Linked DNA regions of Mus musculus. The protein of the gene in region 7 purifies or fractionates together with the protein of the main gene of each other region. This does not show direct contact. Links are inferred from orthologs where the notes say so. Each region holds a gene or a part of one and is shown on either strand. Other genes may lie near its edges. The genes, in order: Copb1, Nudcd1, Arcn1, Copg2, Copz1, Copg1 and Copa.

Evidence for each region.
Region 1: the proteins of Copa (region 7) and Copb1 fractionate together in Homo sapiens (co-fractionation; 6 studies listed by BioGRID and IntAct, with this or other methods). This does not show direct contact. The link is inferred for Mus musculus from reciprocal best matches to the Homo sapiens genes COPA and COPB1.
Region 2: the proteins of Copa (region 7) and Nudcd1 purify together in Homo sapiens (co-immunoprecipitation; 3 studies listed by BioGRID and IntAct, with this or other methods). This does not show direct contact. The link is inferred for Mus musculus from reciprocal best matches to the Homo sapiens genes COPA and NUDCD1.
Region 3: the proteins of Copa (region 7) and Arcn1 fractionate together in Homo sapiens (co-fractionation; 4 studies listed by BioGRID and IntAct, with this or other methods). This does not show direct contact. The link is inferred for Mus musculus from reciprocal best matches to the Homo sapiens genes COPA and ARCN1.
Region 4: the proteins of Copa (region 7) and Copg2 fractionate together in Homo sapiens (co-fractionation; 4 studies listed by BioGRID and IntAct, with this or other methods). This does not show direct contact. The link is inferred for Mus musculus from reciprocal best matches to the Homo sapiens genes COPA and COPG2.
Region 5: the proteins of Copa (region 7) and Copz1 fractionate together in Homo sapiens (co-fractionation; 6 studies listed by BioGRID and IntAct, with this or other methods). This does not show direct contact. The link is inferred for Mus musculus from reciprocal best matches to the Homo sapiens genes COPA and COPZ1.
Region 6: the proteins of Copa (region 7) and Copg1 purify together in Homo sapiens (affinity purification with mass spectrometry; 6 studies listed by BioGRID and IntAct, counting the BioPlex papers as one, with this or other methods). This does not show direct contact. The link is inferred for Mus musculus from reciprocal best matches to the Homo sapiens genes COPA and COPG1.

The regions. Positions count from the first base shown.
Region 1 is NC_000073.6:114,247,899-114,251,973, reverse strand, and holds part of Copb1 (coatomer subunit beta), read left to right. Parts: intron 1-1,698; coding exon 1,699-1,928; intron 1,929-2,996; coding exon 2,997-3,166; intron 3,167-4,075. UniProt on the Homo sapiens protein: The coatomer is a cytosolic protein complex that binds to dilysine motifs and reversibly associates with Golgi non-clathrin-coated vesicles, which further mediate biosynthetic protein transport from the ER, via the Golgi up to the trans Golgi network.
Region 2 is NC_000081.6:44,376,168-44,380,242, reverse strand, and holds part of Nudcd1 (nudC domain-containing protein 1), read left to right. Parts: intron 1-23; coding exon 24-183; intron 184-3,556; coding exon 3,557-3,849; 3' UTR 3,850-4,075.
Region 3 is NC_000075.6:44,750,608-44,754,682, forward strand, and holds part of Arcn1 (coatomer subunit delta), read right to left. Parts: intron 1,669-4,075; coding exon 1,503-1,668; intron 757-1,502; coding exon 609-756; intron 1-608. UniProt on the Homo sapiens protein: Component of the coatomer, a cytosolic protein complex that binds to dilysine motifs and reversibly associates with Golgi non-clathrin-coated vesicles, which further mediate biosynthetic protein transport from the ER, via the Golgi up to the trans Golgi network.
Region 4 is NC_000072.6:30,893,858-30,898,652, forward strand, and holds the start of Copg2 (coatomer subunit gamma-2), read right to left. Parts: upstream 2,938-4,795; 5' UTR 2,841-2,937; coding exon 2,804-2,840; intron 2,385-2,803; exon of another isoform or gene 2,202-2,384; intron 1,738-2,201; coding exon 1,685-1,737; intron 1,071-1,684; coding exon 990-1,070; intron 1-989. Other genes in the region: Tsga13 (testis-specific gene 13 protein), read right to left, coding at 3,217-3,386. UniProt on the Homo sapiens protein: The coatomer is a cytosolic protein complex that binds to dilysine motifs and reversibly associates with Golgi non-clathrin-coated vesicles, which further mediate biosynthetic protein transport from the ER, via the Golgi up to the trans Golgi network.
Region 5 is NC_000081.6:103,271,578-103,276,170, reverse strand, and holds the start of Copz1 (coatomer subunit zeta-1), read right to left. Parts: upstream 3,284-4,593; 5' UTR 3,248-3,283; coding exon 3,230-3,247; intron 1-3,229. UniProt on the Homo sapiens protein: The coatomer is a cytosolic protein complex that binds to dilysine motifs and reversibly associates with Golgi non-clathrin-coated vesicles, which further mediate biosynthetic protein transport from the ER, via the Golgi up to the trans Golgi network.
Region 6 is NC_000072.6:87,901,304-87,905,378, forward strand, and holds part of Copg1 (coatomer subunit gamma-1), read left to right. Parts: intron 1-894; coding exon 895-1,138; intron 1,139-2,181; coding exon 2,182-2,257; intron 2,258-2,784; coding exon 2,785-2,888; intron 2,889-3,512; coding exon 3,513-3,638; intron 3,639-3,895; coding exon 3,896-3,964; intron 3,965-4,075. UniProt on the Homo sapiens protein: The coatomer is a cytosolic protein complex that binds to dilysine motifs and reversibly associates with Golgi non-clathrin-coated vesicles, which further mediate biosynthetic protein transport from the ER, via the Golgi up to the trans Golgi network.
Region 7 is NC_000067.6:172,099,201-172,103,275, reverse strand, and holds part of Copa (coatomer subunit alpha), read right to left. Parts: intron 3,609-4,075; coding exon 3,509-3,608; intron 1,898-3,508; coding exon 1,762-1,897; intron 1,067-1,761; coding exon 984-1,066; intron 1-983. UniProt on the Homo sapiens protein: The coatomer is a cytosolic protein complex that binds to dilysine motifs and reversibly associates with Golgi non-clathrin-coated vesicles, which further mediate biosynthetic protein transport from the ER, via the Golgi up to the trans Golgi network.

The DNA.
Region 1 (4,075 bases), on a different chromosome or scaffold from region 7:
AGAGCACAAGCTTGTCTTCCAGAGGACCAGGGTTTAGTCCCTAGCACCCACGTGATTGCTTACAAACTGTAATTGTGGTTCCAGTGGATATGATGCCCTCTTCTGGTCTCCCAAGAGCACTACATGCATATGATCCACAGACACACATTCTGGGAGAGACACCAATACACACAAAATATAAAATAATTTTAAAGAAAGAAGGAGCTGGGATTAGGCCAGGAAGATGAGTCAGAAAGTGGAAACCTTTACCACCCAAGCATGACAACCTGAGTTAGGTCTCTGGAACTCATGATGGAGAGAAACTTAGCCTGAAAGTTGACCTCCGTGTCCATGCTGTAACATATGTGCCCATGCTTACTTACACATATAAACACAAGGTAGTTAAATTTTAAAAAGACAGCTTGAATCCAAGTAAATGTTGATAGTTGTAGTGAAAATTGAGAAATCAAAAGAGACTCATTTATATTTCACATTTGCTTATAGTTAAAAGTGCTTAATTTTTCTAGAGTTTTGCTAAATATTTTTTATAAGTTATGTATGCTTGTATGTGAATATGTGTACATTAGTGCAGGTCCTCTCGGTAAGAAGAAGGTATGTCTAATCCCCTGGAACTGGAGTTCTTGGTGGTTGTGTGCTGCCCGATGTGGGGGTTAGGGACAGAGCTCGGGACTTTTTTTTACGTACCTTAACCTGTAAGCCATTGATCTCCAGCCTCCCCTCTAGAATTTTTGAGAATGTCTTTAGTAGACCTTTTATCTTAAGAAAAAGGAATTTTTTTTCCCTTTAGACTTGTAGAATTGGTTTATAGAAATAGGATAATAGCCCAGCCTAATAAAGCTAAAGAAATAAAATCATTTAATTACTTGTTCTTCAAAACACTATAATTTCTTGCATAGTTTAATGTATGATACTTAAATATATCTGGCAATTTTCTGTAGGTAATAAGTCAGTATAAGCAAACAAATGAAGTTAATACAAAAGTAAACATGAACATCCCCTACATGTTTATATTTTCATCTTGAAAACATTTTTGCAAAAGAAACATATATGTTTGAAGTTTGAAAACTCATGCTCTGCTCCTTTAAAGTATATAAGGGCCATTATGTACTTGGAATTCCAACTGTTCAGAGGGCTGAAACAGTGGGTCACATTTTTAAAACTAGTCTGGGCAGCTTAGGCCCCTGTCCTGGTGAAGTGCTAGGGGCTATGGACATGTTAACTATATAGTACTTGCCAAGTACTCAGGAGGCTCTGAATTCAGTACACAGCACTAAGAAGGAAAGCGGTGTGCTGTGTGATTTTACAGGATGGGGTTGAGGCCAGGGCGTACTGTGTAGCCCTGCCTAGAGCTGGCCTTGAGCTGAGGATTGACCTGTTCTAACTTCTCATGTGCTAAGCTAGAAGGTACTCAGTGTCTGCTTCCCTGTGGTATAGCTCTAGGTTCAGGAGCTCTACGTTAACTCAGTTGGTTAGAGACCAGAAGTCTAATCCAGTACTATCAGATCATATATAAGGTATCTGAGATTCAGAGACAAAATAGAGTCACAGACATGTTGTTTGGATTTGTAACCTTGTTACCACAGCTGATAGTAAATTTAGTTTGTTTTATTTTAAACTATCTGAGGAACTTAGTTTTGAAATAATTGTGTTTGTTTTTGTTTTGTTTTGTTTTGTTTTGTTTTTTAATTATTGAATCAGAGAAAGGCGATGTGAAGTCAAAGACTGAAGCTTTGAAGAAAGTGATCATTATGATTCTGAATGGGGAAAAGCTTCCCGGACTCCTGATGACAATCATTCGCTTCGTGCTGCCTCTTCAGGATCACACCATCAAAAAGTTGCTCCTGGTCTTCTGGGAGATTGTTCCTAAAACAACTCCAGATGGAAGGCTCTTACATGAAATGATTCTTGTGTGTGATGCATACAGAAAGGTAAACCAAACCATAACTATTGGCTTTGTTGATTTGTAATTATAAAATTGCTGTAATAGATACTATTAGTTTTCAAAATTAAATGTTTGATGAAATGAAAAAAATTACAATACTTATTATTGAAGTTGTAAACTCAAAAGCTTAGACTGCCTGAAGCTGGGCCTAGCTGTTAATGCTGCCCAACATAAAAACCTAATATATTATCAAATACTTTTTGGTGGATTTGGGGGCGGATTTTTATTTGGTTTTGTTTTTCTTTGTAACTATTGCATAAGTCTCAGAGTAAACTTCGTAGATGACAACATCTTACCATAATATTAAAAGATTGGACATGCTTGTAAAATTTATTGTTTAAAAAATTATTTTGGGGCTAGAGAGATGGCTCAGTGGTTAAGAACACAGACTGCTTTTCCGAAGACCCTGAGTTCAAATCCCAGCAACCACATGGTAGCTTACAACCATCAGCAATGAGATCTGACACCCTCTTCTGATGTGTCTGAAGACAGCTACAGTGTACTTATATATAATAATAAATAAATCTTTGGGCCAGAGTGAGTGGGGCCAACCAGGGCGAGCAGAGGTCCTCAATTCAATCCCCAGCAACCACATGATGGCTCACAACCAACTAACTGTACAGCTACAGTGTACTCATATACATAAAAATTAATAAGTAAATCTTTAAAAAAATTATTTTGTTGCCTTTTCCAACATTTTCTGTGTATTTTATGTTATTAAAAGATAGTAGTGAAATGAGTAAAAATTGTTTTAATCAAGAGGAATCAGAAGGAAATCAGTAATCTAGGTCTTTTTCCTAAATCTAACTTTAACTTTTTTCAAATTAGAAATTTTACATTTAAAATTTGATTTTTATAAAACGTTGAAACTTAAGTCTGTGAGATGGCTCAGCAGGTAAAGAGAGTTTGACTCCCAGGATCCACTGATTCCTGCAAGTTGTCCTTTGACCTCCACGGTGTGTGTGAGTGTACACACACATGCATACACGAATAAGTAAATGTAAGGTTTTTTAAAGTTGAAACTCAACATTTCTTGCTGTAATTTTTATATCAGGATCTCCAGCACCCCAATGAGTTTATTCGTGGATCTACTCTTCGTTTCCTTTGCAAATTGAAGGAAGCAGAATTGCTGGAACCTTTAATGCCTGCTATCCGTGCGTGCTTGGAACATCGTCACAGCTATGTTAGGAGAAATGCTGTTTTGGCCATCTATACCATCTACAGGTAAGGGAGGATCTATACCATCTACAGGTAAGGGAGGATCTATACCATCTACAGGTAAGGGAGGATCCTCCTTTGCTTTACTTCTGTTTTCAGTGCTTTAGAGTAGAGGTTCCAGTGTGGTTGGTTACAGAATGTATGCACTTGTAGATATGTTTTACTAATCAATACAGTATTTTTTCTCTTACTGTCATTACATTGTTACCATGGAGAAGTCAAAAACGATCTGGCATCAGTGAGCCCTAGTTTCCGCATGACAACAGTCAGCTTGAATGGCACAGTGCCACTTAAGATTATTGTATGCTTTCTAGTTTAAGACCATAACCATTATTCCTAATTGTATTGCTGCAGTTCACTCAGTTCATTTATTCACTTGCTAAAGGCATTACAATTTTTTACCTTGTTTAAAATTCTCATTTTGAACAGTGTGGGTCTTGTCTTACAGGCTATAAAGAAGTATGCTTTTAGTGAAAAGAGCTGTGATTCTTAACTGATTCTTAACAGCAGTTGATAATTTGCTGGGCCAGTGGTGTGTCGTCTAAGTTCAGCTTCTAGGGAAACCTAAGTCAGGAGGATGATGGGTTTGAGGCCAGTCTGAGCAACTTAATGAGTCTCTAAGTAGAAAAGGGTTGGGGATGTGGCTCAGTGGGTATTTGTTTAGCAGGAACAAGGCTTTGGGACAGTCATTAGAGTAAAGTAATAAAGCTGGAGATGTGGAAATTTAAAACAATTGTGAAGTTCAGAGGAGGCTAGATTACTAAATTGCTAAATCATGGCTGTCAGTCCATTTAGAAGTAGATTATGGGGCAGTGGTAGATAAAGCTCAGTAGCAGAGTCCTTGCCTAGAGTGTGTGAGCATGGATTCAGGTTGGAGTCCTAGCACTGCCACTTTAACTAGGATATATATTATTT
Region 2 (4,075 bases), on a different chromosome or scaffold from region 7:
CTAAATTTACTTTGTCACTTTAGGTGAATCTTGGCAGCAACCAGTACCTGTTCTCAGTCATTGTGGATCCTAAAGAAATGCCGTGCTTCTGTCTACGCCATGATGTCGATGCTCTCCTCTGGCAACCACACTGCAGCAAGCAGGACGACATGTGGGAGCACATTGCCACCTTCAATGCCCTAGGTAGACAGCATTCTCTACAGTAGCATTTGCAGTCTGCCCAAGTAGTCATCATCTTAAAACTTTTTAATTGGAGCCCTCCATTGATTACATTACGTTGATCGTTCCATGGATTGGGTCTTGCTGTGGTTTGCTCTTCTGTGTCCTGTTAAACTGTTAGACTAGAAAGATGAACATGTTCTTCCAGTTGCACAGAAGATAACGCAGGATGAACATGGAAGTGACAATATAACCATTGGAATATTTCTTTTCTTTTTTTTTGGTTTTTTTGAGACAGGGTTTCTCTGTGTAGCCCTGGCTGCCCTGGAACTCACTCTGTAGACCAGGCTGGCCTTGAACTCAGAAATGTGCCTGCCTCTGCCTCCCAAGTACTGGGATTAAAGGTGTGCGCCACCACGCCTGGCATGGGATATTTCTAATCAGTTGTTTCTTTTAAGTCAGTATTAGTAGGAGCGTTGACTTTGCTGTACTCACAACTTGTATGTAAGTCTCTTCAAAAACTCATGCAGTTGCTGTACAGTAATGCCCCCCCCCCCTTTGGAAGACATAGGTCATTGAACTTAAGTGTCAAGGAAGCCAAGCCTGGCGGTGCACACCTGCATTCCCACCACCCGAGTGATGAGGCAGGATGCACAGACACATCTGGGGCTAGCCAGAGTTAATGTAGCAAGAGTCTAAGCCACAGAGTAAACAAGAGGCCATGATAATCAAACAGTCATGAAAAGGTCAAGCACAAATTGAATTTATTTGCTAAAGAGGAAAATACTTGTTTTGAAACTACCCCTTGAAAAAACTTTAAAGTATATATAACTATAGACTATGCCATCATTGATTTTATGTAATATTGTGTAGGAGTTGTACTAGATGAATTAGCTACAGTTATTGCTTTATTTAAAGCTTTTTTTAAACTGGCAGCAAAATGTAGAATTGTGGGTTTTAAAGGCTGTGTGTGTACAATTCTTAATTATTGAGGAAATTTGTCACTTAGCGCTTATAACTAAATGGCCTCACTCAGGCTCTTAAGTGGATTTCTATAAAATGAAATAGTAAGAGGTTTGATAGATTAATTAACCACACAATTTCTGTCCTCTACTGTAATTGCTATTTTGTAATTATCTTCTTTCCTTAAGGAAGAGGAAAGTTCTTCCAGGTTGCTTTTACATGCTAAGACTCTTCAATTCCATGTCAAAATGGTCTTGGAAATGAACTGCCATGCTTCATCCTAAGTTAAATCAATTTTATATTAGCTAGTACTTGAGTTACATACATTATTGTTGGAGTTTCTTGTACAGTTAATGTTCATCTACTCAAATAGATCTCTATATCTTCACCTAATATTTTACAAGCAGTGTTGGCCTGCTTGTGCCTCATGACTTTGCTCACTTTATAGAGTATATATAAACATATATGCAAAATATATAAATATTCATGTATGCATTTAAATCTAGCTTGCATGAGAAAAATGATTTTTTGTCTTCTTCCTTATTCTTCCGCTCTCTACAATGTCATCTATTTTTTAAACACCTTTTTGTATCTTTCTGTACTTACACATATGTGTATGTCTGTGGGTGTGTGTGGGGTGTGTGTGTGTGTTAATATGTAGAGTCTGTATGTGAATGAAAACATGAAGTATTTGTCTGAGCCTGGCTGATATCATTTAACATGGTAATGTCCATTCCCATCCATTTCCTTGTGGTGTATAATTTTGTTCTTTCCACGTGAATATGTGAGTGTGTGTCACATTTCCTCTATGTATTCATCTGTTAATGGGCATCTAAGCTAATTCTATGTCTTTACTTCTGTAAATAGTGTTATGCTGGGTGCAGGCATCTTTGGTTACTTCCATTTTATGACCAGGTAAAACTGCATCAGATGGTGGTTGTACGTTTCCAGTTGTCCTAATTTCCTTCTTGTCTGTACCAGTGCACACTCCCATCAGTACTGAGTGAGTGCTCTTCTTTCCCCACACTATTCTCAACATTCATTGTCCTTTGTTTCCTCAGTAACAGCCATCCTGAGTAACTCAGGCAGAATCTCATTATAGATCTAATTTGAATTTTCACATTAAACATGCTGAACATTTTTTTCTATATGTATGAGATATTTGTGCTTCATCTTGATAGCTACCTCTTCATGTCATCATCCATTTATACACTGGATTGTTTGGTTTGTTGTAATTCAGTGAGTTCTTTATTCTGGATACAATGATTTCTCAGAAACAGATAGCACAGATAGTCTCACATTCTGTAGGCTGTGTCTTCTCAGCATTCCTTGCTTTCTTGCTGCACATTACCTTTTATTTTCGCACAATTCAGTATGTGAGTTTGGTTTATTCCTTGAACTGCTGTAGTCTTCCCCACTAAGTCCTTCTTTTGCTTGTCACTTGTTACCACTCGTTTTCTCTACTGGTTTCAGAATTGCAGGTCTTAAAAGTTTTTGATCGACTTTGAATTGATTCTTCTCCATGTGGATATCCCGTTTCCCAGCAGGACTCCTTACAAAGGCTGTAGGATTTCTAATGTTTGTTAGCGACAGTGTTTCTGTTTGCTCATGCTCTTAGCTGAACCCTGTGAAAGGGTCACTCCTCTCCCAAAAGTGTCTCACTCACACCAGAGGTGGAGAAATCCCACTTCACACCATTCCATTTGTCTGTATGTCCGTTTCTGTGCCTGTACTATGCTGCCTTCGATCTTGTGGCTCTGTAGTATGGCTTGAGATCAATCACTACCATAATAACCTCCACCCATTACTTTCTGCTTAGGATTTCCTTGGCTGTTGAGGGTCTTTTGTGTTTCCATATGAATTTCAGGATTGTATTATCCATTTCTCCAAAGAATATCATTAGAATTTATATGAGGATTTTTTTTTTAAACTGTAAACCACTTTCACTCATATAGCTTATTTTCACAATAAATCCATGGGCATGGGAGAAAAGCCTTTGTATAATCTAGTGCCTTCTTCATTTGTTTTTGTTTTGTTGTTTGTCTTTTTTTTAATTCTTTTAAGTTGTCATTGTATTCCTAGGGTTATTTTTTTTAACTAGGCATTAAAGCTCTTATGTATTTGGTATTTAAGACTTAAGATTGTTATTATCTTATTTCGTAGAGATTAAACAGAAGTATGGTGTGCTTTTGTTGAAGAGCAGGAGGCTTGCTTGTGCCTTAGGAATTAAAGTTCTATTTTTATGCCTCTGAGAAGAAATTGTGACTCACTGTTAATGGTGCTGAATTCAACCATTGTTGACTGTTAATAGTATATGTATTACATAAGTATTTAAATGTGTGATAGATACCATGGGATACTAAGTGTTAAATCTTGATTTTTCTCACTTTAGTTTGACAGGTTTTTTTTTTTTTTTTCTCTTGTATTTTGGCAGGTTACGTCCAAGCCTCAAAGAGAGACAAGAAATTTTTTGCATGTGCTCCAAACTACTCGTATGCAGCCCTTTGTGAGTGCCTTCGCCGAGTATTCATCTATCGGCAGCCCACCCCCATGTCCACTGTGCTGTACAACAGGAAGGAAGGCAGGCATGTGGGGCAAGTTGCTAAGCAGCAGGTAGCAAGCCTAGAAACCAATGATCCTATTTTAGGCTTTCAGGCAACAAATGAGAGATTATTTGTTCTCACTACCAAAAACCTCTTTTTAATAAGAGTAAATACGGAGAATTAATCCTCCAACATTTGTCTAAAAAGTATCCAGTGGTACCTGGAGGGCTGAACAGTTGTACTATAACTTGATAAGTTTTAGCATGATAAATGAGAATACCTTTTATGAAGTTTTATTTTTAAAGGATACTGGAAATGTATTCAGTAGATTATGAATCTGTAAAAGCTGTGGATAGACGAAGCTACAGGATTAGAGAACACCGGCTTCTGTAAAAATATGGAGATATTAG
Region 3 (4,075 bases), on a different chromosome or scaffold from region 7:
TCTGAGTTTAAGGCCAGTCTGGTCTACAGAGTGAGTTCCAGGACAGAGAAACCTTGTCTTGAAAAACCAAACAAAAAAAAAAAAAAAAAAAAGAAGAAGAAGAAGAAGAAGAAGAAGAAGAAGAAGAAGAAGAAGAAGAAGAAGAAGAAGAAAAGTACAGCTGACCAACAAATCTATAGCATCCTACATAAAACTACACACTGGTGGCTCAAAACCACTGTACTTCCAGCTCCAGGGACCTGATGACTTCTTCTGGCCTTCACAGGCACCTATTAATAGGTGGCATACATTCATTCAAACACACATATACTTTTAAAAAATTAAAACGATTAATTCAAATATACAAAGTAATAGCATCAATTCCACTTTGCCAAAAAGAACTTGCTATGGTAATGAAGGTAAGAGAATACCCATCACAGCTTGGTGTGGTGGCGCACGCCTTTAATCCCAGCACTCGGGAGGCAGAGGCAGGAGGATTTCTGAGTTCGAGGCCAGCCTGGTCTACAAAATGAGTTCCAGGACAGCCAGGGCTACACAGAGAAACCCTGTCTCAAAAAATCACACACACAAAAAAAAGAACAAAAAAAAAAACCATCACAGATACCTACTTGTCAACGGAATAAAAGATTCCTCTGTTGTTTGTAGTCTCCACTTTAGTACCCCTACATCACTGTTGACTGGAAATGACTTCTCTGGGTTTTTCAAGCCAATGAGAGACTCTGCAGTAAAAAGTTTTTTATCCACATTTGGATGCGTCTGGAATGAGAAAAGAAGCCTGAAGTTCAGAGTGACAAGTAAAGGGGCCAGGCAAGACGGCTCAGTAGGTAAAGGCTCTTGCTTCTAAGCAATAACCTGAGCTGGGACCCCAAAAGAGAACCAACACTGGAAAGTTACCCTCTGCCCTCTGTGCATATGACACGGCACATGCATGCCCATATAGACATATATACACACAGATACAACACAGATACACACAGAATAAATAAATACACTGAAATTAAAAAAGAAGAAAGAAGCTGAAAATGTAGCTCAGTCGACAAAGAACTTGCCTAGCATATATGGGGCTCTGGATTCAACTGCCTACAGTCCTAGCACTCTGAAGTTAGAGAATCAGACAATTAGAAGTTCAAGGTCATACTCTGTTACATAGTGAGTCTGAGGCCAGCCTGACCTATGTGAGACCTTGTCTCAACTATTGCACATCAAGGGAGGGAGGGAGGGAGAGAGGGAGAGGAAGACTAACAGGAAATAAACCCCTCTGGGTTTACATGGTGGATAAATAGGGTTCCTAATAAATTATATATATATTAAATTTTGTGGAAAGATTTGCCTTCTATAGAGACTTAAGATTTTATACCATCTTTAAAAAAAAGGTGGCTAAGGCTATAGTTGAGCCTTGCTCGAACAAAAGCCTGTATTCAACTTCAAAGTACTGCAAAAATCAAACAGAACACCCAGAACAGGAACCATGCTAGTACTCAGTATAAAAAGCCTCTGCATACCTGTAGCTGCACCCCTTTCTTATCTTCATTTTCTACATGAAGACGAATCCGGCCAAATTTGTCATCTGAGATCCTAAGCATGATCATGCCATGCAACTCCATATTCTGTAATCCTCCATCTCTCCCACAGGTTAGTGTGATCTTCTCTTCAATCTTCATGTGCACACTATAGAACAAAAGTCAATCAGTATGTCAGGAAAGTAGGAACCAGGCTGGAGATGGGAGTTATGTTGGCAGTGTATGTCTAGCATCATGGAGCACTGAGTGACCCGCAGCGCCACATGAAACCAGGTATAATGGTACTGCCTCACTCGGTGTGTGTACTTGGGAGGTAGGATTGGGAAGCGAATCAGGAGGACTTCAGGCTATCTTTGGCTCATAGTGAGCTGAAGGTCAGTATGAACCACAAGAGACCCTGCCCTTAAAAAGAAAGAGAAGGGGCTAGAAAGATGGCTCAGCTGTTAGAACACATACTACTATGAATACCAGGTAGCAGTGAGAAAAAAATAAAGAAAACCTTCAACATGAAAATCATATTAAGTAGTCATGGAAGCCATGGAGCTAAAGCAGGAGGATTCCCACAAACCTCAGCATGGGTTCCTACAGTGAGTGCCATGATTCAAGAAAGAAGGAAACAAAGAGAGAAAGAAGACAGTAATGTCTAAACTTACATTGTAAGCAAATTTAAAAAACATAAGCCGAGTGTAGTAGTATACCTTTTAAATCCCAGCGCTTAGGAGGCAGATGAGGTGGATCTCTGTGAGTTCAAGGCCAGCCTGTTCTACATAGCAAGTTCTATGCACTGTTTGTCTCAAAACCAAAAAACCCACGTTTTTGTTTTTTTCTTTTTTCCGAGACAGAGTTCCTCTGTATAGCCCTGGCTGTCCTGGAACTCACTTTGTAGACCAGGCTGGCCTTGAACTCAAAAATCTGCCTGCCTCTGCCTCCCGAGTGCTGGGATACCACGGCCGGCTTTTTTTTTTTTTTTTTTTCCCTGTATTTTTTAAAAGAGGAATTTCAACATAGATACTCTGTAAAAGTAGACAATACTTCCCCTAGAAGATATGTTTTATTAAAGAAAATCTCTGTGCCAGGTATGAGATATAAGGCCTCCAAACAACACAAGCTATTGTCTCTGCTCTTGTCTGCGCACCCTAACTAGATGCTAAAACGACTGTTGAAGATACAACTCACTTTGCTTTCAGGACATAGGGAAATTGGTGGATCTGACCTGGAAACTTCTTCCCTGTTGGCTAGCTTTCAGTGCTGGAAGATAGATCCTATGCAGCCACTGGGGAGGAAAGATAAATGGCCTTACCAAAAAGTACTAACCCTGAATCCTGTACTAGTGTCCTTCCAGGCAAGGTAGGACCAATGGTGCAACAGGGGCAAGTAGGTTAGAGGAGGAGAACCTACTGCTTTCTGGTTTGATCTGAGGCCTACACTTCACAAGAAAGATTTCAGTATGTAAGCCTAGTTAAAGTCCATGGTTTGGGATGTCACAGGCCTTAGTGGAAAACTTACTGTTATTTTGCTAAATGGGTATATCACTACACTGTTTCCTAAATATTTATGTTTATACACAGATTAGCATTGCTCCCAATCTTGCCCAGTATAGATATACAGCTTATAAATATTATAACTGAGTTGTGTGTTCTTTTCACAGGCTCACTGGGGTTGGAAATTTACTACAACAAAGCACTATTTACTATTTACTCATTATCTATAATTTAACGGAAAAATGCAACTGGAAATTATATCTAATTGTGGTGGTTTGAATGAGAATGGCCTCCAAAGCCCATTGAATATTTGGTTCCCAGCTGGTGGAATGTTTTAGGAAGAATTAGGAGGTTTAGCCTTTTTGGAGGTGTGACCTTAGTTGGAGGAGGTGTGTCTGGGGGTTGGCTTTGAGGGTTCAGAAGCCCACATCAAGCCTAGGCTCTTTCTCTTTGTCTGCTGTCTGAGGATCAGAAGGTAAGCTCTCTACGACTGCTCTAGTACCATGCCTGCCTGCCACAATGCTCCTGTCAATGATGATTATAAACTAACTCCAAAACTATGAGAACTCACAATTAAATGCTTTCTTGTCCTGATCATGGTGGGTTTGTTTTTTTTTTTAATAGCACTAGAACACAACTAAGATATAAATATATGTCTGCTTTGTATAAAGATTTTTAAGAGGGCTGGTGAGATGGCTCAGTGGGCAAGAGCATCCGACTGCTCTTGCGAAGGTCTGGAGTTCAAATCCCAGCAACCACATGGTGGCTCACAACCATCTGTTACAGATCTGACGCCCTCTTCTGGTGTGTCTGAAGACAGCTACAGTGTACTTACATATAAAAAATAAATAAATAAATCTTTAAAAAAAAAAAAGTGGGGGTGGGTGGGTAAGGGGGACTTTTGGTATAGCATTGGAAATGTAAATGAGCTAAATACCTAATAAAAAAAAATGAAAAAAAAAAAAAAAAAAAGATTTTAAAGAAGTAAGCCACAAGTTTTTACTCCCCTGTATACTACAGATTATCCTATTCCCTCAGAAAAATGTCCAAAAAGTATTAATATTGGTTATCTCC
Region 4 (4,795 bases), on a different chromosome or scaffold from region 7:
TATTTACAGTTTGAGGCAAAAGCAAATAGGAAAATTAATAGCAATAATAGAACACAGAATTTTTTAAATATATGTTTTTGGTTTTGTCTGTTATAACTCTAGTACCTAGAACAGTTCATAAGACACAACAGGTATGCAGTAAAACTCACTGAGTTACAATGGAAAGTATTTCTGAATACAAATATGCCTAGCACTATGATAACTGTTTATAGCTAGTATTTCACTTAACTATAAAGCTTAAAACATTGGTATTATAACCTCATTTACATCATGAGGCACATAATGGTTAAATTACTTGTCTAGAATCATATTGACAGTATTAGTGTAATAACTGATACTAATATAAAACCTGAACATTAAGACAAAAATTTCAACATTTCACTATCATGCCAAATAAATAAGCAAAAAAAAATCTTGAAATATATTCTAACTTTACATTGTATTTTCAAAGGATCTCAAAATACATGCAAGCTGCTGTTGGCACAGCAGTTACAAACACTTGTTACTCTACAGAGGACCCAGGTTTGATTCCCAGAACCCACAGAGTGGTTCCAAGTAACTCTAGTCTCAGGTGACCTGATGCCCTCTTCTGACCTCTGTGAACCAAGAGCACACACATGGTGTGCACATACATACATGCAGGTAAAACATGCATACACATAAAATAAATAAATAAATCTTTTTAAAAAATACTAAAAATAAATACATGTAACAAGTATGTTCTAAGTAGTATTTGTTGAATTCAAATCAACATATCTATTGAAATGTACATGTTTAGTTGGTCTAATACCTCATGAATTTAAACAAGGAATATAGGCTCAGTCCTTGTATTAAAGAACTTTCACACATTATTGTTCTAATCACACACTGTGGATTTTCAAATTACATGATTTTCTTTTTTAAACAATTCTGCTTTTCAGTAAGTTCTTCACTGTAGGTTATATATTTCTATCTTAATACACAAATCGAAGGAAATCAGAATAGTTTACCTGGTTGAGTAAGTAAAGAATCTTTGTCAAGATATGCAAGCATCTTCTTGGATTGATGGGCGTTTCGTTGAATATGCGTGCCTACAGAAATATGCAAAACAGTATGCTGTATATTGTGTATGTTCTATCACAGAGGATATCAAATCATCTTTAGTAGCATTAACAATATGTTAGTACAATATCCAAGTAATGCAGGTTGTCTATGCTCTCAAGGTAGTATGACGTACAATAAATTACCAGACATTATCTGCTTTCCTGGCTATATTTTATTCCTTTAGGTTGACAACTTCAACTTTAAAGACTTGACCAGAGTCTCTGTCTACATATGAATGCCTCGAGTTTAATATCTGTAAGCTCTTCTAATAACCTTGCACTTACCACTCCTGACATGTCATTAAAATCCCCCAGCACACGACAGAGTCTATATGTCTGTACGTTTCTATAGTCCCAGCCTCTCCCTTGTCCTCTACTCCACAATCTCTGCACTGCTACACTCCGTTGTCACTTTTAATATAGAAATAAAAAAGGGATTTCTAGTTTTGATCAAATGTGGGGGAAGACCGATATTCAGACTGTCAGGTGGGTCTACGGTCCTTCACTGTTTTTTTGGCTGTCCTGACTTTTGTACTTCCTAGGTTCTTTGCCCATTATTCTCAAACAGAATTGATAAGGCACTGTACACATCCAAGCCATACCTCCTGCAAGACAGCACTCTTCTCCAAATGCTGGAAAGGATTGGAACCACTACCTATAGTATAAGAAAAAGAGAAGGTCTTCAATAGCTGGACTACAAAGACTTTTCTAAAGGAGGATATTGCATGCTTGGAAATCTCACCTAAACAGAATGATCCCTTGGAAGTCACAAGGACAACTATTACTAATATGCAAAGAAGTTGGATGAAGTAATTTTGATTCTGGTTCAAATTCTGTCATTGCCATACTGAGATATCTTGGACTTCTCCTGATATAGGAACCCTATCCAAAATGAGTGCCTTCATTCCCTGCTTCCCCCTCCCCCATCCCATGGATGTTAACAAATGTGTCGGTTTCCACCACCACCAAGAGTAATGAGATGACAGGACACTATGGATTTCCCTAAAAGCAAGCCCTATTTTATGTGTTTCACACATTTACTGAAGCAGAAAGGAACAGTTTCGCAGAGAGTCACAGATGTAAAGGCCATGCAGGATGAGGCCATGAAGGTCCACTAACCCAACCTTCCACCACACTTGTGAGAGCAGCTACCACTGAAGAGCTGAAGATTTTTTTTTTTTTTTTTGAAGAGGCTTGGCATCTTCCCCACTTGCACTGCACCACAGACAGGTATCAACACGCAAGTCACTTCTGGATGCCTGAGCATTCAATGAGCTGTGTCCCACCGGGCAGTCTTAACCCCTGGGAACAGGAGAATCAAGGCCCTTCAGAGTCCATAAACACGCAACCCTGGCCCGGTCGACCCCAGCTCCCAAAACAGGGGGTGCTCGCCCTGGGGCCTAACCCCACCAGCAACCCCAGGGTACCGAGACTTGCGCGCGCACCTCCTCGCCCCCCGACAGGGCCCCACGGAGGGCCGGCTCGGAGGGGCTCGATCGGGGGGCGGGCGCGGGGGGCGGGGACGCGCCGGGGCGGAGCCGCCGAGCGCTCGAGGCGACTCCCGGCCAGGAGCGCGCGGCCCGAGGGGAGGCCCCGGCGCCGGGGGAGGGGCTTCGGGCAGACCCCGCCGCTGCGGCCGCCCCCCAGAGCAGGTGGCTGCGGGCGAGGGAAGGGGGGAAACCCTTGCGCCTGAGAGTGGGCGTCCGGAGCGCCGCGCGTACCAGACTCCTCGTCCTTCTTGTCGAATTTTTTAATCATCTTGGACGGCTTCCCAGCGCCCAGACCCACCGCAACCGTCCCAGGCGCCGCAGCCGGCGAGCGGAAGACGCTGCAGGAAGGCAGGCCCTGGGTTCTCGCACCGGTTGGGCCGGCGGGCCGTCACTCGGGGCCAAGGCCCGCCCCCCTCGGGCCTCCGCGGCCGCCCTTGCCCCCTAGGGACGCAGGCACGCCCCCTGCTCCGCCCACTGCCGCACGGGGGCGTGGCCAGAATCTGCCCGGAGGCTCACCACGCCCCGCTTCACAAACTCTGCAAGCCAGGTCTGAGACAACAAACAGGGAACTTTATTTGGTTAGTGACTTCTCCAGGCCCCCTCAGTTCTTGGAGAGTGAGGAGTGGGGCTTTAAGTCTTTGTCTTCACCAAATGACAGCCGCATCTTTGACAATCCACTGCTGGGCCCTTCCATGGCGAAAGAAGCTCTCCCCTGGCACACTTCTTGTAGGCTTCTCTTCTAGGAGCTTTGAAAATGTCAGGGGTTCCCAAAATACTTGCGAAGTTGGTGTTTCACTCTCTGACTTCATGGAAACTACGACAAAGCATAGGACACGTTGAATGTGCGACTCTGAGAGCACTAGAAGCGTACTAAAAGGAAGGCGTGATGTGATCCATTTGAGGAGACCGAAAAGCTGGTCTTAATTTAACTTTCCAAGAGGGTAGATTTGGGGACTGCCATTCCCAACTTCTTATGATTCCTTCTTCACCCAAACCAGTGTAGTTTTCTTGGCTTTCACCATTTTCAAATGATTCAATCTGCATAACACTCAAGTAATTTAAGGGATACTCATGTGTCTCAGTGCTTTTCCAAATGTTTTCTCTTTTTTTTTTTTTTTTTTTGTCCTCGTCTCAGAGTATGAAAAACACGCTTTTAATGCCTTGGGCATCGAAGACATCACATTTCTAGAAGGTCTTTCCAGCTTCACCTGTTCTTAGGGCGTTGACTACTTTAAGATCTTAATGACAGTCCTTCCTCCGTTGAGGGCGTGGTTTGCCTCTTGGGCAACCTTCTAACCAAACTTGACAACTTCTACTCAGATCTCTCTCTCTCTCTCTCTCTCTCTCTCTCCCTCTCTCTCTCTCTCTCTCTCTCTCTCTCTCACACACACACACACACACACACACACACACACAAATGATAGGGCATCATTTGGGGGACAGAGATGTTAGCTTAGAAATGGCACCACTAGTAAAACACCCTGGCAGCTTTGTTATTGTTGAGGAAATGCACCATAACTGTCTGTTCATTTTAGGTACAAAAGTAAAGCACTCATATTTGGAGAGGGCATATGTAGTCGCCATAAATGACACTAGAGCTGAAGGCTGACATATTACTTTATACATGAAGATCTATCTCATCCTGACAGGGCTTAGAAAAGGTCCTACCTAGATTATGCTACATACCCTTAAGAAAAATTTCAAACTGGGCATGATAGCACACACGCTTTTAATCCCAGAAGGCAGATCTCTGAGTTCAAGACCAGCCTGGTCTACACAGCAAATTCCAGAACAGCCAGGGCTATACAGAGAAACCTTGTCTTGAAAAAACAAAAAGAAAAAGAAAAAATTCCCATCATATATAGATTCCGCTGAATAATGTGCCCAAACCTTAGTAATGGTGCCACTTAAAATGTTACTCCATCCCGATTAAAAATACTATGCTAGGGACTGGAGAGATGGCCCAGTAATTAAGAGAATTTATTGCTCTTGCAGAGGACCTGAGTTCAATTCCCAGCACTCACGTGGTGGCTGACAAACCATCAGTAACTCTAGTTCCAGGTGATCCGATGCCCTCTCCTCTGATCTCTGTGGGCGCCGTAAGTGGTAAGCGGATATACACACAAGCAAACCACTCATACATAAAATAAAATGAGTAAACCTAATTTTAAAATGTAAATACTATACTAATGATTCTAGCTACCTCATTTGACTTATATAAAG
Region 5 (4,593 bases), on a different chromosome or scaffold from region 7:
AGTTCAAATCCCAGCAACCACATGGTGGGTGGCTCACAACCACCCATAATGAGATCTGATGCCCTCTTCTGGCACATCTGAAGACAGCTGCAGTGTACTTATGTATAATAATAAATAAATCTTTAAAAAAAAAAAGTACTCAGGATCTACTAAAAAAAAAAAAAAAAAAAAAAAAAAGGCTAGGTGTGGTGGTACATGCCTTTAATATCAGGACTTGTGAGGCAGAAGCAAGTGGATTTCTGTGAGTTAGAGGACAGCCAAGACTATGTAAAGAGGGATGGAGAGATGGCTCAGCGGTTAAGAGCACTGACTGCTCTTCCGTAGGTCCTGAGTTTAAATCCCAGCAACCACATGGTGGCTCACAACCATCCATAATGAGATCTGATGCCCTCTTCTGGTGTGTCCAAAGACAGTTACAGTGTACTTATATATAATAATAAATTAATCTTTAGACCAGGGGGAAAAAAAAGACTATGTAAAGAGACCTTGTCTCAAAAGATAAATGTGATAATGATGATGGTGGTGGTGGTGGTGGTGGTGGTGGTGGTGGTGGTGGTGGTGATGGTGGTGGTGATGGTGGGCACAGAAACAAACAACATTAATCCTAGTACTCAGGAGCCAGAGGAGAATCCTTATGCATTTAAACCACCCTGATCTACACAGCAAGATCCAAGCAAGGCAGGACTACATAATGACACCCAGTTTCCAAAAAAAAAAAAAAAATCATTAAATAAAGTTGGAAAGAACATAGGGGAAAAAAAAAGACAACAGTTTAATCGTCAAGAACTTTAAAAATCAGCACAAAAACTAATACCTGTAGGTTTGGTTTGTTTGTTTATTGAGACAGGGTCTCTCTCTACATAGCTTTGACTGTCTGGGAACTTGCTAAGTAGACCAGGCTCACTTCAGACTCTCAGACATCCACCTGCCTGTGCCAACCAAACACTGAGATTAAAGGTGGGAGCCACAATCCATAGCTCCCTGTAGGTATTTTACCATCAACAAAAACTTTATACAACCCATGGCTGAAAGGAAAATTCTGCAAACTGAAGAGGTGCAAGAACCTACAGAAACCTCAGAAACCTGGTGACTCTGGGATAAGACAAATTCAAACCCAGCCCAAGCTACATAATGAGACTGTCTCAAAAAAAAAAAAAAAAAAAAAATTTGTTCTGAGAGAACAAGGAAACAAAACTGGAACGGGGTTTTGGCACTGCCCTTCCTTAGAAAGAGCCTTTTCCTACAGCTCTGCTTCCCTAAACCCAGTACATTAAGGTGCTAGTGACAAAGGCTCAGTATAGTTTTAAAAGTAAAGGTGAGGGATATGCAGGCAAGTTAGCAAGGGTCTGTTACTACATGCAGCTGGTTAGCTCAGCTGCAAGGGGGAACAATGAGGAAGAAGCAGGCTGAGAGATACCACACAGTGCAAGAAAGAGAGAAAATGACACAGAGATTTCCCCATACAACCTCAGCTCTCCTAGTGCTGGGGTCAAACACAGGGCTTTTAAAGATAGCTAGACCATATGCTCTTAGCATTTACACCCAGCCCAACAGAACCAATGGGAAAGGAGTTCCCCAAGTACCATTTTCCTCACTCTTTAAGCTGGTTCCACTAAATTACATTAATTTTGGTTTTATGAGACGAGGTCTTATTTTGTAACCCAGGCTGGCCTCAAACTAGCAACAATATAGCCTCAGCCTGAGTGCTGGGGTTACAGGTGTGAGCAACCACACCTGATTAAGAAGACCAAAAACATCCAAGGAAACTAGTTTCACAGACTCTATCCACATCGTCACAAGATTTTTAAAAACTCATTGACCGGTATAGTAAATACTTGAACTACTCAATACATTAAACATTTTGCTTCAACTTGTCCAACACATATGATGAGAATAAATTCTCTTTGACATTTGCAAGAAGGAAAGTAAGGAGGTTTGAACAGATAGGTCAGTGGTTAAAGTGCTTGTCATACAAATAAGAAAACCAAAGTTCAAATTCCCACATAAATGCCAGGTGAGTATAGATGTCTGCCCTGGCTACGTGGCAAAGTTGATTCCAGTCAGACCTACATGAAACTCTCAGTGAGAAAACTAAAACAAGTTGATGTGGTGGCACATACCTCTAGTCTCCGAATTTGGAGGGTAGAGGTAGGTGGTCCTCTGTGAGTCTGAGGCCAACATGGCTTACATAATGAGTAGCTAGGGCATCAGGAAAGGGAAAGGTAGAGAGGGACCCTGTCTCAAAAAACTTTTTTTCCTTTAAAGAAAGAAAGAAGAAAAAGCTTTTTTTCTTTTACTGACAAGAGTTTGATATGTACACTTACAAGGAATATAAATGAAAACAGGAGCTAAGGAAGACTCTTAGAAACAATCCTGGAGTCCAACTAAAGGAAAGAAGCTGGGAGTTAAATTCCTACACTAACACACAGACACAGGTAGGCAGACTCATGGGTCTCTAAACTGCTGGCCAGTGTCTTGAAAGAAATGCTCTGATCCTGTTCTAGGGGGCAGAACAAGCAGAAAGGATCAAGGGACAAGAGAGTTAAATGCACTTCTATAATCACAATTCTCATGTAAGCAAGAAGGCTGAAATGGATCTTACAGTATGAGTTCCTAAAGTCTGAAGGAGGGGAGAGTAGGAGAGAAGAATAAGGAGTCAGAAAAAGATATTCCAAAATCTATACTAGCTCTACCAAGTATTCCTGAACCTGGATGGAATGCTGACTCTCAATCATGACAGAATTACATACTAAGGATTAACAGGAAAATAAAAACAAGTTTTGTAAAGGAACAGGACATGGAATTGCCAAAAGGTAGTCGAATTCTGACCACCACCAGGAGGATCTGGGACTGACAAAACACCTCTCTTCTGCCATTGCAACTTGGGGGACTAGAATATGAGGGTTTGGGGAAACTCAAGTAGGTATGATCCACAACAAAAACCATCGGGGAGAACTTGAAAGACACCCCTCCAGCGCAATCAGAATTCTCCTAAGGACCCTGCATGTTCTCTTCAACTTTGCCACCGACTCCTGCTCTCTTGCCGGCAAGGCTTCCTACTCTATACCGCGGCTCTAGCTCCCATTGTAGGCCACACTTGCATTGCACAGATAGCGGGAGCTTTGGCCCCCGAGGCCTGCCCGGAACCCTCTCCCGGCCCCAGCTGATGAGCCCCACCTCCCGGACCCCCTGGACACCACAACGGAGCCACTGGCCCTCCAGCTCCTACCAAAATCAGCGCCTCCATCTTGCCCGTAGCTGCTGCCGACGTGGAGTCGCACAAGCGACGTCACCGCTGATTGGCCCTGAGTCTTCGCTAGGTCCCGCCTCAAAGAGGCAACATTGGGTGAAGATGAGCCAGCCTTCGCGTCTTGACCAGTCAGCGTAGTCACTCGCTTCACGGAAGCCAACTGTCCAGCCAGAAGAGGCAGCTGTTAGATTGTCACCCGGAATTTTCAATGAAAGGCCAAAACCTCAGCACTGAAGGGGCGGGAGGATCATTGAGGGCGGTGTTGTTTCCATGGGGAACGGAGGAAGCGATTGTTACTTTGCTATTGGTAGGAGGAAGCCACGTGATTCTGTCAGCCTCCAATTCGCACTCGCTATAGGGGGTGCTATGTGTAGCCCTTAACATTAGCCTTGCTGAGAAGCCCTACCCGAATACAGATTCCCATCGCCACCATTAGGATATCCACAGCTGTAGTGTCCTTGGGTCATTTCAACAACCTCGGAAAGTTCACCAAGTTAGCTATAGGCAGCCAAGCGTTAACTACACAAACCAAGGTCTCGAGAAGTATATCCCAGGATATACACGTGTGGCATGCACACATACCCAATAAATATATATTTTTTTAAGATTTATTTATTTCATTTATATGAGTACACCGTAGCTGTCTTCAGACACACCAGAAGAGGGCATCAGATCTCATTACAGCTGGTTGTGAGACACCATGTGGTTGCTGGGAATTGAACCCAGGACCTCTGGAAGAGAAAGCACCCAATGTTCTTAACCACTGAGCAATCTCTCCAGACCACCCCCCTCAATATTTTTAATGTAATTTACTTAAAAAAAAAAAAAAAACTGTGGGGACTGGAGATATGGCTCGGTAGTTAAGAGCTCATATTCGATGGGCAGTGGTGGCACATGTTTTTAATCCCAGCACTTGGGAGGCAGAGACAGGCGGATTTCTGAGTTTGAGGCCAGCCTGGTCTACAAAGTGAGTTCCAGGACAGCCAGGGCTATTTAGAGAAGCCCTGTCTCGAAAACAAAAACAAAAAAAAAGAGCTCATACTCTTCGTGTGGAAGACCTGAGTTCAGTTGCCAGCTCCTATGCCCCGTTGCTCAGCTTCAGAGAATCTGCTGCCCACTGCCCACTTTCTGTCTGGGAGTTGAGTACAGGAGACCTGCACTTTGATGGACAACGTTTTCCCACTTTGGTTCAATTTGAAATAGGATATCAAGGCATTGGAGATTAGAGCGAATGGAAAGAAAGCTATCAGCTTCTGACCCCCAGAACAATAAGAGTTACAAGGCCAGAGATCATTAGCCTTTGACCTCCATCTTATGCTGTGTCCCACCTCAGTACCTGACCC
Region 6 (4,075 bases), on a different chromosome or scaffold from region 7:
GCTGATACCGAGCACTGGAGTTACCGATCAGATAATTCTGTCCTTGGTGTTGTGAGGAACCGCCATGTTGTTTTCCCAGCCTTGTGTGCTACCCACTCCATTTTTTCATATCTCCGTTCTGTGTGGAGAATAATCTCCCATAGCCGGGCTTTCTGTTTCATGTCAGTGGGTCTGGTAGGGCTATAGCACGCAGGAGTAAAGGAAGAGAGCAGTAAAGTGCATAATGTAAGTGTATACACAGCATCCCACAGGAGTAAGTGGGAAAGCCTGGGGGAAGGAGCAGTCATTGGAGACCCTTGTTGACAGCCTGTCTCCTGCTAGCTGAGACTTGGCAGTTGGCCGTTCCCACTACACGAGTTTTTACATCGTGAGATGAGCTGTAGGGGGTCTTTTGCTTTGGGACTGCTTTGCTTAGCTGTCTTCAGGGACACTTCGTTTTAACATCACATGATTTACTCTGCGGTCCCCAAAGGTGCTGTTTGCACTCCTGGACTGTACTGCTGTTCTCCTTTCCTTTTATCACAGGACAGACGACAATCATCCCTGGACAAGGGGTCTTGGAAGACAAAACATGATTGGGTGTGAGGCCAGAACAGAGTTAGGGAGCAGCCCTTCCCTTCCTCCAGAGCCAGCTTAAACAGCACACGACAGTTCACTAGTGTAATGTGTGTTACACTCAGTAGAGGAAATGGGGTCTAAAATGTTTCCATTAATCTTTCTCCTGTTAGAATTAGAAGGCCAAGCCTTTTGTTTTATCCAACAGAGACTGGAACCAAGGCTTCTGCTTCCAGGCTGCCTATGGAGCGTTGTTCCCTGGGCCTGCCTGAGCTGTAGGCCTGCGTTGGTCTCCTGAGGATGTGAGATCTTTGCTCAGCTAGACCCTTCTCTCTGCAGGGTGGCTTTGAGTACAAGCGTGCCATTGTGGACTGCATCATCAGCATCATCGAGGAGAACTCAGAGAGCAAGGAGACAGGATTGTCACACCTGTGCGAGTTCATTGAGGACTGCGAGTTCACTGTGCTGGCCACCCGCATCCTGCACCTGTTGGGCCAGGAGGGGCCCAAGACCAACAACCCTTCCAAGTACATTCGCTTTATCTACAACCGTGTGGTCTTGGAGCATGAAGAAGTTCGGGCAGGTATATCTGAGCTGGGGTGACCCTGGCCTCTTAGCTTCTTTTGCAGTGAATTTGCCCAGTAATGGGACCTAAGCTCTCAGGGGGACAAGCACACTGGGAACATGGCCTTATAAGCTGTTTTTTACATTGTCAGAAGGATTTTAGATGCCAAATGGATAAATGATTTTTTTAAAATTTAATTTTTTTTTAAATTTCATTGTATATTCGTACTTAAGAGTTTTTTGTTTTTATTTTTTGAGATAGGGTCTTATTCTATAGCCAAGCTGGTTCATACTTGAAACCGTACTGCTTCAGCCTTCTGTGTGCTGGAATCCTAAGTATGTACCACCATACCTGGAGAGAGAACACACACCACAAGATTTATCTTTTTTTATAAGTCAGTGATCTAACAGTCTACCATTTTGGTTTTTTTTTTTAAAGATTTATTTATTTCAATTATATGAGTACACTGTAGCTGTCTCAGACACACCAGAAGAGGCCATCAGATCCTATTACAGATGGTTGTGAGCCACCATGTGGTTGCTGGGAATTGAACTCAGGACCTCTGGAAGAATAAGCAGCCAGTGCTCTTACCCGCTGAGCCATCTGTCCAGCCCTACCATCTTGTTTTTAACTTCATCTTATTTTCCATTTTTACTTCTATTCCCTTGTAGGCAAATTTTCTTCTTTTAGTAGTTAGTCGTAAGTGATGGTTTATTTTCTCATGTTTTACTCTCAAGCTTAGCTACAAAGGAAGCTGCTCAGAAGTAGCTAACAGTGTTGATAATGCCTGTCGCCTTATTCATTTGAAAGTTGTCCCTAAAGCCCTAGAACAAGAGCCACATGTGTGTCACCCTTTCTCCAGTGACTGGAGGAGGAATTAGAGACCTGGGTAGCACCAAGATCCACTAGGATTACACAGGATCTGTTCTGTGATTGTGTCAGCGGTGCCACCCCCTAGCGCTTCTGCGTGGATTCCCACTCTGAACACTGGTGGGCAGCCTCGGCACTCTGGCAGGTGGGCCTGAGGGGCTGCGGGTGAGTCATATTTACCTTGGAACTAGGTGCAGTAAGTGCTCTGGCCAAGTTTGGAGCTCAGAACGAAGAGATGTTGCCTAGTATCTTGGTGTTGCTGAAGAGGTGAGTCTCAGCTCAGAAGCCAGAGTGCATAGCAGTGCTCCCTTGGGTCCAGTCCACCTTTTATTCACAATTCTCTATATAGCCCTGGCCATCCTGGAATTTTCTCTGTAGACCAAGATGGCCTCAAACTCACAGAGATCCTCCTGCCTTTGACTCCCAAGTGCTGGAATCAAAGGTGCAAGGCACCATATCCAACGAAGATTTAATTATGTTTATCTTATTTGTGTGGGTGTTTTGCCTGCATGTATATTTGTGCACTTTTTGTGGTATTTAGTACCTGCTGAGTCCAGAAGTGTACTCCTCTAAGCTCAAGGGTACCTCTGTGTTTTGCCTTTTTTGGCTTGCCTATGGTGCTGGGTGATATCTTTACTAGAGAGCTGTCTACCACTGAGCTGCATCAGCCCCTTGTATGTTATAGTGTTGAGCTTTAGAGCTTTGCCTTGCCCTGCCATCCCTGTACAGTCCTGCAGGGTCCCTCTGACCCCCTGGCTAGGCTCAGTCAGGAGTGCCTTGTGTCCTGGCTGCAGGTGTGTGATGGACGACGACAATGAAGTGAGAGACAGAGCCACCTTCTATCTGAACGTTCTGGAACAGAAGCAGAAGGCTCTCAACGCAGGTTACATCCTAAATGGTAAGTTGTCCCTGGCCACCAGGGCCTTCCTGTGGCCTTAGAGAAGGCGTGCTGTCCCTGAGCCAAGGCACCCAAGACCATTCATGCTTCACTAGAGTTGTATAGCAGTCTCTTGGATTGATATAACCTCAGAAGACCCAGGGCTGCATGGCTTGATCCAGTCAATGGAAATAACCAAGTAAATTAAGTGCTCTTTGTGTGTTACTCTGGCTTGAACTCAGGACTTGCATATGCTTGCCAAGTCTCCACCACTGTGCTGTATCCTCAGTCCAAAACTTTGTTGTTTTGAGATAGTATCTCTTTATGTAGCTAAAGCTGGCCTGGAATTCATGACAATCCCCTCAGGTCAATGTCCAGAGTGCAAAACAGTCATTAATAAAAATCTTTAAGCCTGGTATGTTGGTTTCTGTCTTCGTACCAGCACTTAACTTATTTCGTATTTACCTACCTGCCAACCCTGGAAGGAGGAAGAGGATAGGGAGGGAGTAAAGCTTGCAGGTTCCATGACTGTCAGCATCAGCACATCTACCAGTCATGGTAGGAGTCCCAGGCCTCTGTCCTCCCTAGGCACGCCATGCCTCTCTGTCGTGCCAGCCAGGCAGAATAACTCTCTACTGACTTTAGGTCTGACCGTGTCCATCCCTGGTCTGGAGAAAGCCCTGCAGCAGTACACACTCGAACCATCAGAGAAGCCATTTGACCTCAAGTCTGTGCCTCTGGCCACCACGCCTATGGCAGAGCAGAGACCAGGTAAGGCCCTGCTCATCCCCAGGGCCCGTCTGTTTCCCTGGACTGTAGAGTGTGCAAGGATAGGCTGATATACTGCACAGGGAGTAGCCCCAAGTGGGTAGGGACAGCCATGCTGACAGCTTGCTCTTTTCCTTGCACGCTTCTCTCTCGGGAGAGTTGACATTTACAACATCCAAGCAATAACGTGGGCTCAGCAGCACCATGCTGCCTGAGACTAGAGCTGTGGGTTACCACACCAGGTATGCTTGCTCTTGCAGAAAGCACCGCCACCGCAGCAGTCAAACAGCCGGAGAAGGTAGCAGCCACACGGCAGGAGATTTTCCAAGGTGAGTAACGTCATTATGGTCAGTAGTTGTGTGACTTCAGAGCCTGCCAACCGCTGATCATGCATGCCTCAGTGGTAGATGCTGGTGTGCATGTTTGACGCCCTACATTTC
Region 7 (4,075 bases):
GCATACGCCTTTAATCCCAGCACTCGGGAGGCAGAGGCAGGTGGATTTCTGAGTTTGAGGCCAGTCTGGTCCCAGGACAGCCAGGGCTATACAGAGAAACCCTGTCTTGAAAAAAACCAAAAAAAAAAAAAAAAAAAAGTACACAGTGTGAAGCATTTTTGCTGTAGCTATAGAAAACAGATACAATAGCTAAATACATTCCATTAAAAAAATTTTTTTTATTAGGTATTTTCCTCGTTTACATTTTCAATGCTATCCCAAAAGTCCGCCATACCCCCCCCCCTAAATACATTCCTAAACTCACAGTTTTTAAAAACCTTTTCCAAATAGTTTTCTGTCACTCATCTCCCTGGTCTTCCTTCTCTTTCTTGAACCCAGGACCTCATACAAACTAGGAAAGCAGCCTGTGACAGCACAGTCTCCCTTTTCTCACTCATGTTCACGTTCTTGAATACCCACTATAAGCCTGTAGGCCACCACTGTCATCGTCCTCCCTTCCCTTGACTTTTTATTCAAGGCATCTTCAAACACACATCACTTTCTATACTTAGAGTTTACAGACCATCTCCCTTAAAGCTCCACTAAGGCAGGCAGTATTTATGCACTGCTCTGACACCAGCATAAAGAGCATGGGCTGATATTTTATTATGTATTTGACAAATGAATGAAGTAGACTTGGCTTCTACGTTCTCACTCTGAGAACTCTAAATGTTCACTATTAGTCTCCTATGAGCTCCTAAAAGCACATCACAGAGAATGAGCTTAAGGTCAAACAGAGCTTCATGGTGAAGATCACTAAAGAGCTCCATCTCCCAAAAGTAAGAGATGAGAATGAGAAAAGCTTCCGGTAGGTGGCTCTGAAAACTCTGCTTCTCTTTGTTTTCCTATTACCACTTATAAGAGACAAAGCTAAGGAAGAATCACTTTGAAATCTACAAACTTTCAACTAAATCCCAGGAGCGAGAAGAAGAAATGGTCCTTACCTGCTGCAAAGAGGTTAAGGTTGGGATGGGCAGCCAGGACCCAGAAGCGATCATGATCCCTACGGAAAGTCTGAACCCCAGTCCTAGAAAACCAAAAGGTACAGAAGAAACCGTTAATCAAGGCTCTTCAGTACAGCATGCACAAGGAAAGTGAGTAGCAGGCCTGGAAGATGACTTTACAAGTGCACTGGAGACAGGGAATGCTGTGCACTCAGCTAAGGATCAGGACCACACCCACAAGGAACACAGTGGGAGGGAAGGCTTCACACTAACCCAGGCCTAGGCAGGCCAGTTTCTCCCTTGTCTCTCCTAATGTACTTTTAGTTCACATTTCTACCTCTTTAGCTGAACAATGAAGGGAAGAAAAAAATATACTCAAATTTAGAGGAGAAAAAGAATACAGGGAGATTTGTACCTAAAAAATATTGTTGCTATTTTAGTCTCTAAGGGTTTTTGCTGTTGCTTGCTTATTTATTTATTTACTGCTTTACAGCAGTGTGGATTACATTTATGGCCTCATGCATGACAGGCAAGCACTTTAACCACTAAGCAATACAGCCTTAGAACTTCAGAACACAGGACTTGGTTTTTCATCATGCTGAAGAGAAAAAGAAGTATTCTAATTTTTTCCTTTCCTTTTACAGATATTAATATTGCATAAGGAGTGTGTGTGTGTGTGTATGTGTGTGTGCGCGCACGCACGCGCGAAGACAAAGGATAAGACAAAGAAAGGGTCCTTCTCTTGGGTTTGGTCACATGACATAAATAATTCCCTTACCGCTTAGACATATCCCAGACTCGAATACTCTTGTCTTCAGAATTGCTGAGGATCAACTCTTGGCGAGGGTGAAAAACAGCACAAGACACATTGTTGTAATGGCCCCGGCAGGTGTCAACCTCCCATGCCTTTGATTCTGAAGAACAAAAGGAATTGTTATCACAATTCTCTGTAATAACTCTGGGATCTATAAATCCAACACCCATTCTTTAAAAAAAAAAAAAAGATTTTAGTTGTGTTTTTAGTTTTGTGTGTATTTATCTGTATGTGGTTTTTTGCATCTGAGTGTAGTATCTGTGGAGGCCAGAAGGCAGCCCTTGGGCCCCTGGAGCTGAAGTAACAGATGTCTGTGAGCTGCCTGACATAGGTGCTAGGAACCAAACTCAGCCCTCTGTGGGTCCACTGAGCCATCTCTAGCCCCAGCTTTTTGAGGAGACAAGGTTTTGCTATATGGCTCAGGACGGCCTTGTGCTTGTGATCCTCCTGCCTCAGCCATGCATGCTGATACTGCAAGACTATACCATCATGTACATGCATGCTGATACTGCAAGGCTATACCATCATGTACATGCATGCTGACACTACAAGGCTATACCGTCATGTTGACACTGCAAGGCTATACTGTCATGTATATGCATGCTGACACTGCAAGGCTATACTGTCATGTACATGCATGCTGACACTGCAAGGCTATACCGTCATGCTGATACTGCAAGGCTGTACTGTCATGTACATGCATGCTGACTCTGCAAGGCTATATCGTCATGCTGATAGACATTGCAAAGCTATACTGTCATGGACAGCTGTGATGATGCTCTTTAAATGCAAGTGCTAAGTACTATTGCAAAATGCTAAATCAATTTTCCCCAAATGGGACAATGTTTTTCATGTAAGTTTCTTCCTCTTTATTTTATGTTTATTTTTTTTAGTTACTTGAACCTTTTTTTGCGGGGGGGGGGGGGTGTCAAGACAAGGTTTTGCTGTTGCTCAGGCTACCTTTGACCTCCTAGGAATTGTACTACCTCAGCCTCTTTTTTTTTTTTAGGAAATCTTTTTTTTTTAAATTAATTAATTTATTTATTATATGTAAAGTACACTGTAGCTGTCTTCAGACAGCACCAGAAGAGGGCATCGGATCTCATTACGGGTGGTTGTGAGCCACCATGTGGTTGCTGGGATTTGAACTTCCGACCTTCGGAAGAGCAGTCGGGTGCTCTTACCCACTGAGCCATCTCACCAGCCCCTACCTCAGCCTCTTGAGTAGCCACAGCTACCTCAGCTCCAAAATTCCTGTTTTTCTGTACATCTCTGTTCTTTTATTATGTACCTCTACTGACTGTAACAGCTATATTAAATAATTCTTTATGCTTCTACTCTTATTTTATCCACATAGTATATGTATTACTTGCTGATTCTGAGAACAAATATAAACTCTATATCATGGAAATTTTGAGTCACAATAATATAAATATGGCCCTAAACACAGTCTAAAACAAAGCAGCTACTCACAATTTGTCACATGAACTTTTACTCTTGACTATGCTCATATCTCTCAAAATCAAGATACTGCCATGAGGGGTGTGGAGGGGAGGAAGAGACAATGATCATGCACTTAGGAATAGCAGTAAATAATCAACTAAGGCCTAAGGCAGAAAAATAGGCCAAAGTCCAGAAAACCTGGCTACTTCCCCTTGCTGGCTGGCTGCCACTTTCTTGGCTATGGCAACATCGCCAGTACCTTACTCACCATTCATACGCCAGATCTTCACTTGCCGGTCATCTGCCCCAGATACAATAAGGGGCATAGTCGGGTGGAAGGCAGCCCAGTTGACTCCACGGTCATGACCCTGTTAAAAAGAGAAAAAGTGGGTCTTCTACAACAGCTGTAAAAACACAATTCAAAGAAAACCATGCTAGTGTTTATAACAAAATGTGTCTGTTTCTTTTTCTGTGATACGGGCAATCAAAGTCAGGGCCTTACAGGTGCTGAAGTCAGTACTCTATCACTGATCTATTTCCTCAGCCTCTGAAATACTCAAGGCAAAAGACTTAAGAGATTGTGCCACTGTAGAGATCATTTGTTGATATTTTATTTTCATTTGACTTTTTTTTTTTTTGTAACAAACATTTGGGTTTTTTTGTTTGTTTGTTTGTTTTGGCTTACTATAAAGCTTTGAACATTAGAATAACCATATCAACATGTCCAATATTAATTCAAATTCTCATGGGATGTTGCAAACATTTCCACAAGGAAATTCAGCTTTGTTTATAGTTAGGTTTTCCTTACTTTTTACTTGTCTATATATGTTTTATT